3 linked regions of the Saccharomyces cerevisiae S288C genome follow. The protein of the gene in region 1 interacts with the protein of each later gene in a pairwise test. Each region holds a gene or a part of one and is shown on either strand. Other genes may lie near its edges.

Evidence for each region.
Region 2: the proteins of FRE4 (region 1) and CSC1 interact in a protein complementation assay, tested with the Saccharomyces cerevisiae proteins (one large-scale study listed by BioGRID).
Region 3: the proteins of FRE4 (region 1) and ATO3 interact in a protein complementation assay, tested with the Saccharomyces cerevisiae proteins (one large-scale study listed by BioGRID).

What each region holds. Positions count from the first base shown.
Region 1 is NC_001146.8:738,303-742,617, reverse strand, and holds FRE4 (ferric-chelate reductase), read right to left. Parts: upstream 2,668-4,315; coding exon 508-2,667; downstream 1-507. Other genes in the region: MNT4 (putative alpha-1,3-mannosyltransferase), read right to left, coding at 4,073-4,315. UniProt on the Saccharomyces cerevisiae protein: Siderophore-iron reductase responsible for reducing extracellular iron prior to import. Catalyzes the reductive uptake of Fe(3+) bound to dihydroxamate rhodotorulic acid.
Region 2 is NC_001144.5:618,585-623,473, forward strand, and holds CSC1 (Csc1p), read left to right. Parts: upstream 1-1,888; coding exon 1,889-4,237; downstream 4,238-4,889. Other genes in the region: phosphatidylinositol 3-kinase VPS34, read left to right, coding at 1-1,576; sterol homeostasis protein ARV1, read right to left, coding at 4,334-4,889.
Region 3 is NC_001136.10:1,240,552-1,244,014, reverse strand, and holds ATO3 (putative ammonium permease ATO3), read left to right. Parts: upstream 1-1,983; coding exon 1,984-2,811; downstream 2,812-3,463. Other genes in the region: EFT2 (elongation factor 2), read right to left, coding at 1-785; NKP1 (Nkp1p), read left to right, coding at 3,339-3,463. UniProt on the Saccharomyces cerevisiae protein: Transporter protein required for ammonia export. Induced in rho(0) cells, probably to eliminate the excess ammonia that arises because of a potential defect in ammonia assimilation in those cells.

The sequences.
Region 1 (4,315 bases):
TTAGCTACACATCATATAGTTATTAATTCAATATATTACTTTTGGTACTGCATTCTAAAACACTAAAGTATAACCTCCGAACATTATATAGGTGTTTATTGAGTTATTTTTTGAAGAAATAGTCCACTAGAAATTGCTTGGGATGCGGGATTCCTTTTTCTCTTGGTCCTTACATTATACACCAATTTTATCTTTATAAGAAAATACAGGTAGTTAAATTAAGTACATGAACGCTGAAGATCGATTGGTTCATATTCTATCGGCAATTGGTGTGTTATACAATTCAGAGTTACTAAATATGAAGCTTCTGTCATCTTACGTATGATTTTTCTGCTTTTTAATACGATTATTTTTCTGAAAAAGTGTTATTTGAAACAACTTAAGCCTCAGTAGTTAGAATCAATCAACAAGAGTCCCCTAAAAAAGGCGCAAACCATCTACGTTAATGAAATTACAACAGTTAGAGGATATTATACATTGAGTGTTTACTTAAATATGAAAAATTGTTCACCAGGCTTGGTATTCCTCCAAGTATTCAATCATTCTTGATGGGTTTCTGATAACAGCTTTGGCAGTTTGATTTCTAGCGGTGTCGACGAAAATAGGTGGTCCGCAACATACGACGGCAAGTGAACCAGAATGGTTAACAGATTCATTTAGTATTTCTTCAACATTTGGCCTTCCAACATGGAAAGTGGCAAATTCTAAATCGGAGATAGACGTGTCATTCAGGGAAAGAGGTAGTTCTGTATTTTCACTTTCAGAAGGAGCTTTTTCTGAATTGCTTAGACTAGATGGGGCCTTCTCTGCTGTCGTTTCACCGTTTTTGACTTCATTTGAGGAAATTTTTTCAGCCGAAGCTAGCTCTTGCTTAGAATTATAAATGTGAACTTGAACATTCAAGCCCTTTAATGCCATTAGTTCTTTCTTACACGCGTTGAGCATGTCTAGTCCTCTTACTGCTATGACTAACTGTACAAAGTTTTTACCGCTTGCAGCTGTTGTCTTTCCTAATTCAAGGGCATGAGAAATTGGACCGGGAAGCCCTGAGCCACCTGCCAACAATAATACATTATCAAAGCGATGGGCGGTGGACTTGGAGCCATAAGGGCCTTCGATAGCTAATCTCATGGATGCCTTGCCGCCTTTACGTTCAACAAAGTTTCTTACCAGTTTTGTCACACCTTTCTTTGCTTTCAGAACGATGACCAATTCTCTATCGTTTACGCAAGAATCCATCACTGTAAATGGATGCGACTGCCAGAAGCACAATGGACGCAAGAAGGAAACGAAAACGTATTGGCCTGGTTTTGCCTTCCAAAACTTCTTTGGTTTTTTAACCGTTACACGGACCAAATCAGATCCAACCAGTTGTAGATCTGCTTTAGGAAATCCTAAGAGTGCAATTCTGGTGATACGTACAATTCTATCAACTCCCCAAATTGCTATTGCCGCGTAAATCCATTCGATACCGCTGAAGTTAGTAACATGCTCCCAACAAGTATAGAGAAATAGTGCTGCGAATACTATATGGAGGGCCATAAACGTTTCATAGTAGTGTCTTCTAAATGCTGCGATGGAAAAGAAAATTAACATTCCCGCTAAACAGGTGGTAGCAATACCGAATTTCCAGTAGACTCTTAATCTAACCGTATTCCATTTTTTATAATACAAATAATAGTTCGTAAAGCCGGCAGCATGAATTATTGCATCAAGAAACATCATTCTTCCCAGCCACTTATGGAACACAATGAATGAGGTATGCTTCAAGCCAGAAATAAGTTGGAGAAAGTTATTTCTTCCCGCAAATAAAACAATGAGTGGCAGGTGTGCAAAAGAAAGTATACCGCTTCTGTACGCAACAAAATGTGCCACTTCTGCTCTATGAGCGGCAAATATGATGTGGTATGGATCATATTGATATTTGTAGGCCATGAAAATGGTATGAAGTATGAGGTAGCCTAAAATAACCAACGTTTCAAACCTAGTAGGAAGATAGCCTGTTATCACTTTTAAGTACGAGAAGGGCTCTGCATGCTTTTCATAAAGAGTGGGTAGAGTAGTATAACCTCTCACGTAATTGACTAGCTTTTGCTGAAACATAATCTTTTTTATTGGGGTATAATTCAAAAAACGAATTAAACCTGCAAGCAACATGACACCCACAAAGTATGCACAGATAATGCCCCCGAAATAATACGGAATGTCATGGTTATAGTAGTAACCATAGTATGCATCATAGTATGCTTTTCTTAGTGTAGTGTTCAGTCTGATAGGATAAGTGATATTGATGCCAGCTTTAGGTTGATCTTGTATATAGTATGTTCCATTATCCAATGAGGTGTAAAACTCGGCATCAGTCATGTTCAAAAACTTTGGTGTATAGCAAAATTGTCTCATTTCTTCAAAACCTTTCTCCAAAGTTTTATTTGAATACCCTTTCTCATGCGTGTCTTCGTAAAGACAGTAAAGCATCGATTGGATTGCTGGTTCATACCGACATATAGCGGACCCATTGAACCCCCATGTTTCTTTACGTAAACCAACGTAGCATGAATATATCGACCTTCTCTCATGAGTATTTATTAGAGACGTTTTACTGGGTGGGGCCTTTGCGGCCGAAAGCTGGAAGAACAGAAGGAAAGATATAATATGTACCAACAACATGGTTTTGCCTACCTAAGCTTATTTAGCCATCTCAGGTTCAAGAAATAGACGCTGGGGAGACACGATTAACTGGAGTCTTTCTCAGCTTCTCTAGTTGTTTTATATGAGAGTCAGCCAAGACTAAGAAAGAGGAGAAAAACTGGCTTTTAACGAATATTTTGTGTAACTGCAAGAACTACTAGGGTTTGATGTACCTTGCTCATTAAACTACGCTAGGAATTCCCTATGTAAACGCTGATGCGTTTGCCTTAACGAAAAAAATTTTCTCTAACGATACAGAAATTGTAACCTCATTTTTACCATAGTCACCGGCAGTGAAGGGATATATCGGGACCTCTACCAGTAGTCTTTGTTCTTTTGAGTATTGTTCCCTCAGGGTCCTATGAAACCAGGTGCAATTATGGTATTCGTTGAGTGTCTATGTTAAATAGGGTGCAAATTTTTAGACGGTCTTGCATAAAAAAACAAAAAACGTTCTTCTATCGGAAAAAGCCGTTCCTGCTTACAAAGCCAAGATCTTGTTTTGTACGCAGTTGCTCTGGGATTCAGATTACGTGTTTCTAAGAAGCAGGTCCCCCTCTTCTAAAATTATTCCATGGCATACCTTTATTATTCTTCTCTTCTCAGCCACGTTACTCTTAGTAGAAGTTTCTTGCTAGCGCCCGCTTTATCCCGAAAACGTCATTTCACACATTCTTGAGGGAAGGAAAAAGGAAAAAGGCTACTCAGGCATCTATGGCCGTCGCCAAAGTAACCTTACTTCCTAAGCTATTGAAGGGCTCGCTTGTAAGGAAAATTTCCCTGTGCTAATAGCGGAACTGGGTACTGAGCACTTTTTATGCACGTGCATCGTACAATTACTCGCTTGGAGCCAATGCACTAAACATTCTTATAATTCTAGGCGAAAATGTGTTGTAGTAGTTTTACGTGCGGGAAACTTACTTCATGCGATATACTTATTTGTTTAAAACAGATATGGTATTTTGTTAGTTTTTGATTCAGGCGCTACTGATGATTTGTGCAAGGGTCCAGAGAAAAATGCATGTGTCAGTGTTCTAAGCCAAGTATATATGATTACCGGTAAAATTCTACGCCAATATTCGTCTTTTACTGAAGAAAAGTATTGTTGGCATTCCTACTTTATTTTAAAGTTTTCTTGAGGCAAAATGAAGAAAGAGCTAAGGCTCTTTTTATGAGCGAATTTCACATAATGTTAACTAAATATAAATGCGGGAATAACATTGTGCCAAGAGGAACTTAAATAAGGATATCTCAAAAACAGCCTAGTTCCGTAGGAAAGATGCCGTTTGAAAACGATGTCAAGAAGGGTTTAACATGCTTTATAGAAAAATCTAAAAGTTTAAAAACTTATAGGAAATTCACCGTACTCATACTGAAACATACTCTATACAACCTTGTTCCATAATTCTACAACTTTCTCGTAATATTTCTTTTGAGAATCTGTAAACTCTATCAATTTTCCGTACTGTCCCTTCCTATAATGTGTGCAATAGCTGTACATAACGCATTCGCTCTGTTGCGACCAGGGGGACTTGCTGACATCGGGTATTATGACAGCTTCGAGTTTCACAGGTGATTGATAGTAATTCCGTAATTCATCAACGCTTTTGTATTTGGCCGCAATCTC
Region 2 (4,889 bases), on another chromosome or scaffold:
AGAAGAATCGGAAAGAGTAGAGGTTTTAGAACTAATGGACTCATGGGCAGAAATTGATATAGACGACGCATTAGAACTATTAGGCTCAACTTTTAAAAACCTTTCAGTGAGATCGTACGCCGTAAATAGGCTGAAGAAGGCATCAGACAAGGAGCTGGAATTGTACTTATTACAGTTGGTAGAAGCTGTCTGTTTTGAGAACCTGTCCACTTTTTCCGACAAATCTAACAGTGAATTCACTATTGTGGATGCCGTATCTTCGCAAAAGCTTTCGGGTGATTCTATGTTACTATCTACATCGCATGCCAACCAAAAATTATTAAAGTCCATCTCGAGTGAATCGGAAACTTCCGGGACAGAATCGCTACCAATCGTCATTTCTCCCTTGGCTGAGTTTTTGATTAGGAGAGCACTGGTCAACCCAAGGTTAGGAAGTTTTTTCTATTGGTATTTAAAGTCCGAGTCTGAGGACAAGCCATATTTAGACCAGATTTTAAGTTCCTTTTGGAGTAGACTGGATAAAAAATCTCGGAATATACTGAACGATCAAGTCAGGCTAATAAATGTGCTCAGGGAATGTTGTGAAACAATTAAGAGGCTGAAAGATACTACAGCCAAAAAGATGGAATTACTAGTGCATTTATTGGAGACGAAAGTCAGGCCTCTTGTCAAAGTACGACCAATTGCTTTACCACTAGACCCTGATGTGTTGATATGCGACGTTTGTCCTGAAACTTCGAAGGTATTTAAAAGCTCTTTATCGCCACTAAAAATAACATTCAAAACGACCTTAAACCAACCATATCACTTAATGTTTAAGGTTGGCGATGATTTGAGACAAGATCAACTGGTAGTACAGATCATAAGTTTAATGAATGAGTTATTAAAAAATGAAAACGTGGACTTGAAATTGACACCATACAAAATTTTGGCAACAGGACCACAAGAAGGTGCCATTGAATTTATCCCTAATGACACATTAGCTAGCATACTAAGCAAATATCACGGTATTCTTGGCTACCTTAAACTCCACTATCCTGATGAGAACGCGACATTAGGCGTACAAGGCTGGGTTTTAGATAATTTTGTCAAATCTTGTGCTGGCTATTGTGTTATTACATACATCTTAGGTGTCGGCGATAGGCATTTAGACAACTTACTAGTCACGCCAGATGGGCACTTTTTTCACGCAGACTTTGGTTATATCTTGGGTCAGGACCCCAAACCTTTTCCGCCATTAATGAAATTGCCCCCTCAAATTATAGAGGCGTTTGGGGGTGCAGAATCATCAAATTATGATAAATTTCGCAGCTACTGTTTTGTGGCATATTCGATTTTAAGAAGGAATGCAGGCTTAATCTTAAACCTGTTTGAATTAATGAAGACTTCGAACATACCTGATATCAGAATAGATCCCAATGGTGCTATATTACGTGTAAGAGAGAGATTTAATTTGAATATGTCCGAAGAAGATGCCACAGTGCATTTTCAGAATCTAATCAATGATAGTGTAAATGCTTTGCTGCCTATCGTGATTGATCATTTACATAATCTGGCACAATACTGGCGGACCTGATTGGTTGATAATTGGTGCTTCAAAATTTAAATTTCGTCACTCTAATTATACTTAACATATAAATGGTACCTTCAATATATCTTCTTAGTAAAAAGTAGCATGATTTTGTGTTAATTTGCACTTTTTTTATTTAAAAATAAAAATCACAGTTAATTTTTCATGATCTTGCAAAGACACGCCTCCCCCTAATGTGGCATATATAACAATTGTGAATCAGAAAAACTCAACACTTTAACATAATGGCGGGCACGAAGGCTAAACAAACAAGATTAGCATTGAATGCCTTTTTTGGGTACAATAGAACAGTACTGAATGACATCATATATCGAAAGGCTCAAGTCGGCAGCATCGTATCTTGATACAGTTCCAGATGAGCATCATGATTTCAGAAAACCCACCGCCAAGGTTGTAACGACGCAACTGACTATTGCTACTTCACTAGGTATTTTTGCTTTGCTTTCGTTCTCAATTCTACTAAAAAAGTGGCCTAGATTATACGCAAGCAGACGATATAAAGATGACGGGAACCTTCGCTTACCGTCCTGGAATCAGTCAAGTTTATTCGGCTGGTTAACAGTGTTGTATAAGATACGGGACGAACAGATTCTGGAATATGCAGGTTTAGATGCGTATGTGTTTTTGAGTTTTTTCAAAATGTGCATCAAATTACTTTCTATTTTTTGTTTCTTCTCTGTGTGCGTTATATCTCCAGTAAGATATCATTTTACTGGAAAAATTGATGACGGCAACGATGATGATGACAGTGAAAGTTCTTTAATACATCTGGTAAAAAGAATTGTGGAGGGAAGTGGCGATGGTGACAATCATTCAGCTCCCGAACGTACAAATGTGTACCTCTGGATGTATGTTCTCTTCACATATTTCTTCACCTTCATAGCAATTAAAATGGCAGTTGCGGAAACAAAGCACGTCGTAAGTACTAGGCAAGCTTATCTTGGGAAGCAAAATACGATTACTGATAGAACGATAAGGCTCTCAGGCATCCCGATAGAGCTTCGTGATTCGGAAGCCTTAAAGACCAGAATTGAACAATTAAAAATCGGCACCGTTTCATCAATCACTATTTGTCGAGAGTGGGGTCCTTTGAACAAGCTATTTCATTGTCGGAAGAAAATACTCAAAAACCTGGAATTAAAATATTCAGAATGTCCAAGGGAGCTCCGTACTCGACAACCATATTCGGAGAACTATCATTTATTGGGAAACGAGCAATCAGGCGCAGTTACACATGGAGAAAATGTTCCATCAAGCAATAATAATGACGAGGATACTATACTATATTCTCAAATTTCTCTTGGAGAGAGACCAAAAATGAAAATTGGATATCGTGGTATCTTTGGGAAGGAAGTAGATGCCATAGAGTACCTGGAGCAGCAATTAAAATTTATTGATGCTGAAATTATTGAAGCGAGGAAACAACACTACTCCGCAACACCTACGGCATTCGTTACGATGGATTCTGTTGCTAATGCGCAAATGGCAGCTCAGGCGGTATTAGATCCTAGAGTACATTACTTCATAACCAGATTGGCTCCTGCACCTCACGATATCAAGTGGGATCATGTTTGTCTTTCTAGAAAGGACCGGTTAACAAAAGTTTATTCTACTACCGTATTTATAGGCCTTTCAAGTTTGTTTTTAGTCATTCCTGTATCATACTTAGCCACATTGCTAAATTTGAAAACACTTTCGAAATTCTGGCCAAGCGTAGGGCAGCTACTAAAAGATCACCAGTGGGCCGCTAACATTGTAACGGGGCTATTACCAACCTATCTCTTCACATTGCTTAACTTTGGAATCCCCTATTTTTACGAGTATTTGACTTCTTATCAAGGATTGGTATCATACAGCGAAGAGGAAATCTCACTTGTTTCAAAAAATTTCTTTTATATTTTTGTCAACCTTTTCTTAGTTTTCACATTGGCAGGTACAGCATCTAATTACTGGGCGTACCTCAGCGATACCACCAAAATTGCTTATCAACTTGCTACATCTGTGAAGGAGTTCTCCTTATTCTATGTCGATTTGATTATATTGCAAGGTATTGGTATGTTCCCGTTTAAGTTGTTATTAGTTGGTAGTTTGATCGGCTTTCCTCTAGTGAAAATCAAGGCTAAGACACCTAGGCAACGGAATGAACTTTACAATCCACCGATATTTAACTTTGGACTACAATTACCACAGCCAATTCTGATTTTGATTATAACGTTGATCTACAGTGTAATGAGCACGAAAATTTTGACTTCAGGGCTGGCGTACTTTATTATTGGGTTTTACGTCTATAAATATCAATTGATTTTTGCCACAGATCATTTGCCCCATTCTACAGGAAAAGTATGGCCATTAATTTTTAGAAGAATCATCGTTGGATTGCTATTGTTTCAATTAACAATGACAGGAACACTGGCAGGATTCGAAGGAGGATGGGTTTTGTCATCTTGCCTTTTCCCGCTTCCAGTAGTGACATTATGTTTCCTATATGATTTCGAGAAGAACTATTTGCCGTTGTCAAAATATATCGCATTGAGTTCAATTCGCGAGTACGAAAGAGACAATTCTACGGTGAATTCTGCCAATGAGGAAGAGTCGTATGCATACCCTTACGCTGTGAGTGAATTAGAGGGTCCGATGTTGGATTGAAATCCCAAGGTGCTATTTCTATATTTATATATTTTGTTGTGAAAATGCCAAAATAAGATTTTTGATACAAGTAATACTGGATATTTTTTTATTTGCTTATAACAATAAATAAGTTCCTGACTTCTGTAGTAGTAGTATAAACTCCTGATGTATTAAATTCTTAATAACTGAAAAGTTAAACTTTGCCACGAAAACTATAAGTATTGGCTTAACCATGAAATATCGTAATAAAGACACACTTATAAAAATCTTTATGATATTCCAATAGGAAAGATTAGTTACAATCTTCAACGATTCAATAATATAGAGATTAGCTACCCACTTAATGATACTCATCGAAATTAGAGTATCATAAGGCCATATCAACATCAATATCGGAAAAATTTTGGCACCGTACGATAATAAGATCGTATATGATATGACATCCTTTGAAGAAACGGAATAGTGCTTCCAATGCAACTTTTTCAGTATGAAATACTGGGTAAAGGTGTGGAATAAAGAAACGTCAAGAATACAATAACTTGCAAAGTAAAGATATTGTATTGGTGGGCTCCAGGTAAACACTTTACTTGTAATGGTATTGCGCATGATTGCCGAGTCCCATTTGAAGCTCTCTGGTAATTTTTTTGAAAGCATGATGAGCTTACCATCA
Region 3 (3,463 bases), on another chromosome or scaffold:
GTGTCCTTGTTGGTCCACTTCTTGGTCTTTGGGTTGAAGAAAGAGTCACCCCATAATCTGTCCATCATCTTGGCCTTGTCGACACCGAATTTCTTAGCATATCTGGTGGCGAATTGACGGATAGTGAAAGCCCAACCGTGCAAACCGGAACCGAAGGCAACGGTACCTCTGGCTGGGTAAACTTGGACATCACCCAAAACTTCATCGGCGTAGGTGGAAACGATGACGTTAACGGATTCAACAGTTCTGGCAAAGGTTTGGTATAAATCTTCCTTAGAAACTTGCAATTCCAACAAAGCTCTGTCGACCTTGTTGATAACAACAACAGGCTTGATTCTCTCACCCAAAGCTTGTCTCAAAACAGTTTCGGTTTGGACACAGACACCTTCAATGGTGTCGACGACAACCAAAGCACCGTCAGTGACACGTAAAGCGGCAGTAACTTCAGAGGAGAAGTCAACGTGACCTGGAGAGTCGATCAAGTTGATCAAGAAGGAGTTACCGTCGGTCTTTTGCTTGATTTCCTTGACATCTTCGTCAGACATTTCAGAGTATAGAGAAATAGCGGTAGACTTGATAGTGATACCTCTTTCTTGTTCATCCTTTCTGGTATCGGTGAAACGAGCTTCACCAGCCTTAGCAGCGGAAATAATACCGGCTCTTTGGACCAAGGAATCGGTCAAAGTGGACTTACCATGATCGACGTGAGCAATAACGGACATGTTACGCACATTGGTAACTTTGTCCATTAAAGAACGCATTTGGTCAACAGTGAAAGCAACCATCTTGCAATTATGTTATAGTTTGTGTTTGTGGTCTTTGAGTCTGAATGCTAAACACCAAAAGGGCAATCGTGAAATGTAAGAGAATAATATGTATAATCTAAGATATCAAGAATATATAGAAAAGAAGAATAAGCTCACAAAATGAAAAAAAACTTTTAAGAAAAAATTTTTTTCTCTCTTCGTTTTGCTCACTCCAAAAGCCTACTGCATTGTAATACCTGAAGAGAACAAACCATAACCTGGAGGACAACAGCCCAGTGTGCAGGGAGATCTGAGAAAGAAAGGAACCACACGAGAGACCCGAGAGGAAAGACCAAATCCCTTTCCCAAACTAGTTGTGTTTTTGTCAGGTTAATGCGTCTGTGTATTTCTCAGAACGCTTACGTTCCAGGTATTTCGCACCCATTTTGAATTCTCCATATCGTTTTGCACGGAAAACCCATTTATCATCTATTCTGTATATAACCACAATAGGCATCTCATTTCTTGCTTTGAAATAGTAGGTACTTTTGTACGTAATTCTTCTGGTAAAAAAAAAAGAAAAAAAAGGAAGGAATTTGGGTCTCAATTTTCACCCTTTTGTATAACAGTAGCATTCTTGCATGTAATCTCCAATATTTGGCTTGTGATTGCCATCTCTATACTTCGTCAGCCATTACCTTTTCCCCTCCCCTTCCCCTCCCCTCTCCTATTGCCGCACCGCCGGCTACAAACATAACTCCAACCATAATCTCACCGCAGCTGGCATATCCTCCGGTTTTCCCTCTCCATCGCCCATTGTGTGCCAGACAAAAGACGCCGAAAAAAACCGGAACTGCCGCCGCTGGTCCTGAGAAGAGCAAGAACCATACGGAAGAGTCTCAGCAGGCGCTGCTCCAACTTGGCACACGGCAGAACCTGCACTACAATAGCGTTAGGAAGAAGCATCATTTTTTTCTACTGTTTTTTTTTTTCTTGGGGAACCGCTCAGGGCCTAATGGAAACACCAATGGATTTGAGAATTTTAACGCTATTCACGATGACCGTGACTCAGAAGGAATATTTAAATAAAACAACTTTTTAGCAAATTGAATACTCATCGATGAGCTTCGCTTGATTGCCTAATATTCCCCCAGTTTTATAAACAGTTGGGTCACATATAACTGAATACATTCCCAGAAAGATTTAGTAAGAATAAAAAATAAAAATACTGGTTAAAATGACATCGTCTGCTTCTTCTCCACAGGATTTGGAAAAGGGTGTGAACACTCTAGAAAATATTGAGACGCTCCCCCAGCAGGGTTCGATTGCAGGCGTTTCGCAGGGCTTCCCTAATATTCAAGAGATATACTCCGACAGAGACTTCATTACTCTAGGATCCTCCACCTACAGGCGCAGAGATTTGCTCAATGCACTAGACAGAGGGGATGGGGAGGAAGGAAACTGTGCAAAGTATACTCCGCACCAGTTCGCTAATCCGGTTCCTTTGGGTCTCGCATCGTTTTCTCTGTCATGTCTAGTTCTGTCGCTAATTAATGCGAACGTTCGCGGCGTCACTGATGGTAAATGGGCGCTAAGTTTGTTTATGTTTTTTGGTGGTGCCATTGAATTGTTTGCCGGGTTATTGTGTTTTGTCATTGGGGACACATACGCCATGACTGTGTTCAGTTCTTTCGGCGGGTTCTGGATCTGCTACGGTTATGGGCTAACAGATACTGATAATTTGGTCAGCGGCTATACCGATCCCACAATGTTGAACAATGTCATTGGGTTCTTCCTTGCGGGCTGGACCGTTTTCACCTTCTTGATGTTGATGTGTACATTGAAGAGCACGTGGGGTTTGTTCTTACTATTGACGTTTTTGGATCTTACCTTCCTACTACTGTGTATCGGCACCTTCATTGACAACAACAATCTCAAAATGGCCGGTGGCTATTTTGGAATTTTAAGTAGTTGCTGCGGTTGGTATTCGCTATACTGTTCTGTGGTGAGTCCTTCAAATTCTTATTTAGCCTTCAGGGCGCACACAATGCCAAATGCTCCTTAAAGGGTATGAAATGAAAAACAAAACTTATAAAACATTAAAATGATTTAATAATAATGATAACGTTACGTTTAGACATAGTCTTTTTTTTTTTTCTTGGCCAAGAGTTTTTATAAAAATTTATATATCATTTACCCACAATACTTAGCAAATTGTTCGAGACGAAATATTCTTTTTTTGAATTGTTACCGATGGATGGATTTGTTCGAAATAAGACCCAAGGCTTAGGCATCTTTTTTTTTTTTTTCTGTAATATTTGGACTAAATATAAATCAAATTTCAAGAAGGAAGGGAAAAATCATAAAATAGTGAAGAATTCAGGCAATCAAGATTTAATTCGCATGTAAAATATCTCTTTCTCGTGAACAAAACTTTCGTTTGTACCTTTTGAGTACAGATATATTGCTTTGTTCAAAGGTGATATAAAAACGATGACGCGTCACAGGGGAAAAGAGGTAAATCTACATGCGAAGAAATATTTTTGGTAAATGTGCACAGAAACTAAAGCAACAATAGATTGTAGGAATAAGATGACAGACACATATAATAGCATATCCAATTTTATAGAAAATGAATTGACCGCACTGCTGTCGAGTGATGACTACCTCATGGATGACCTAGCAGGCGAATTACCAAATGAAGTGTGCAGATTACT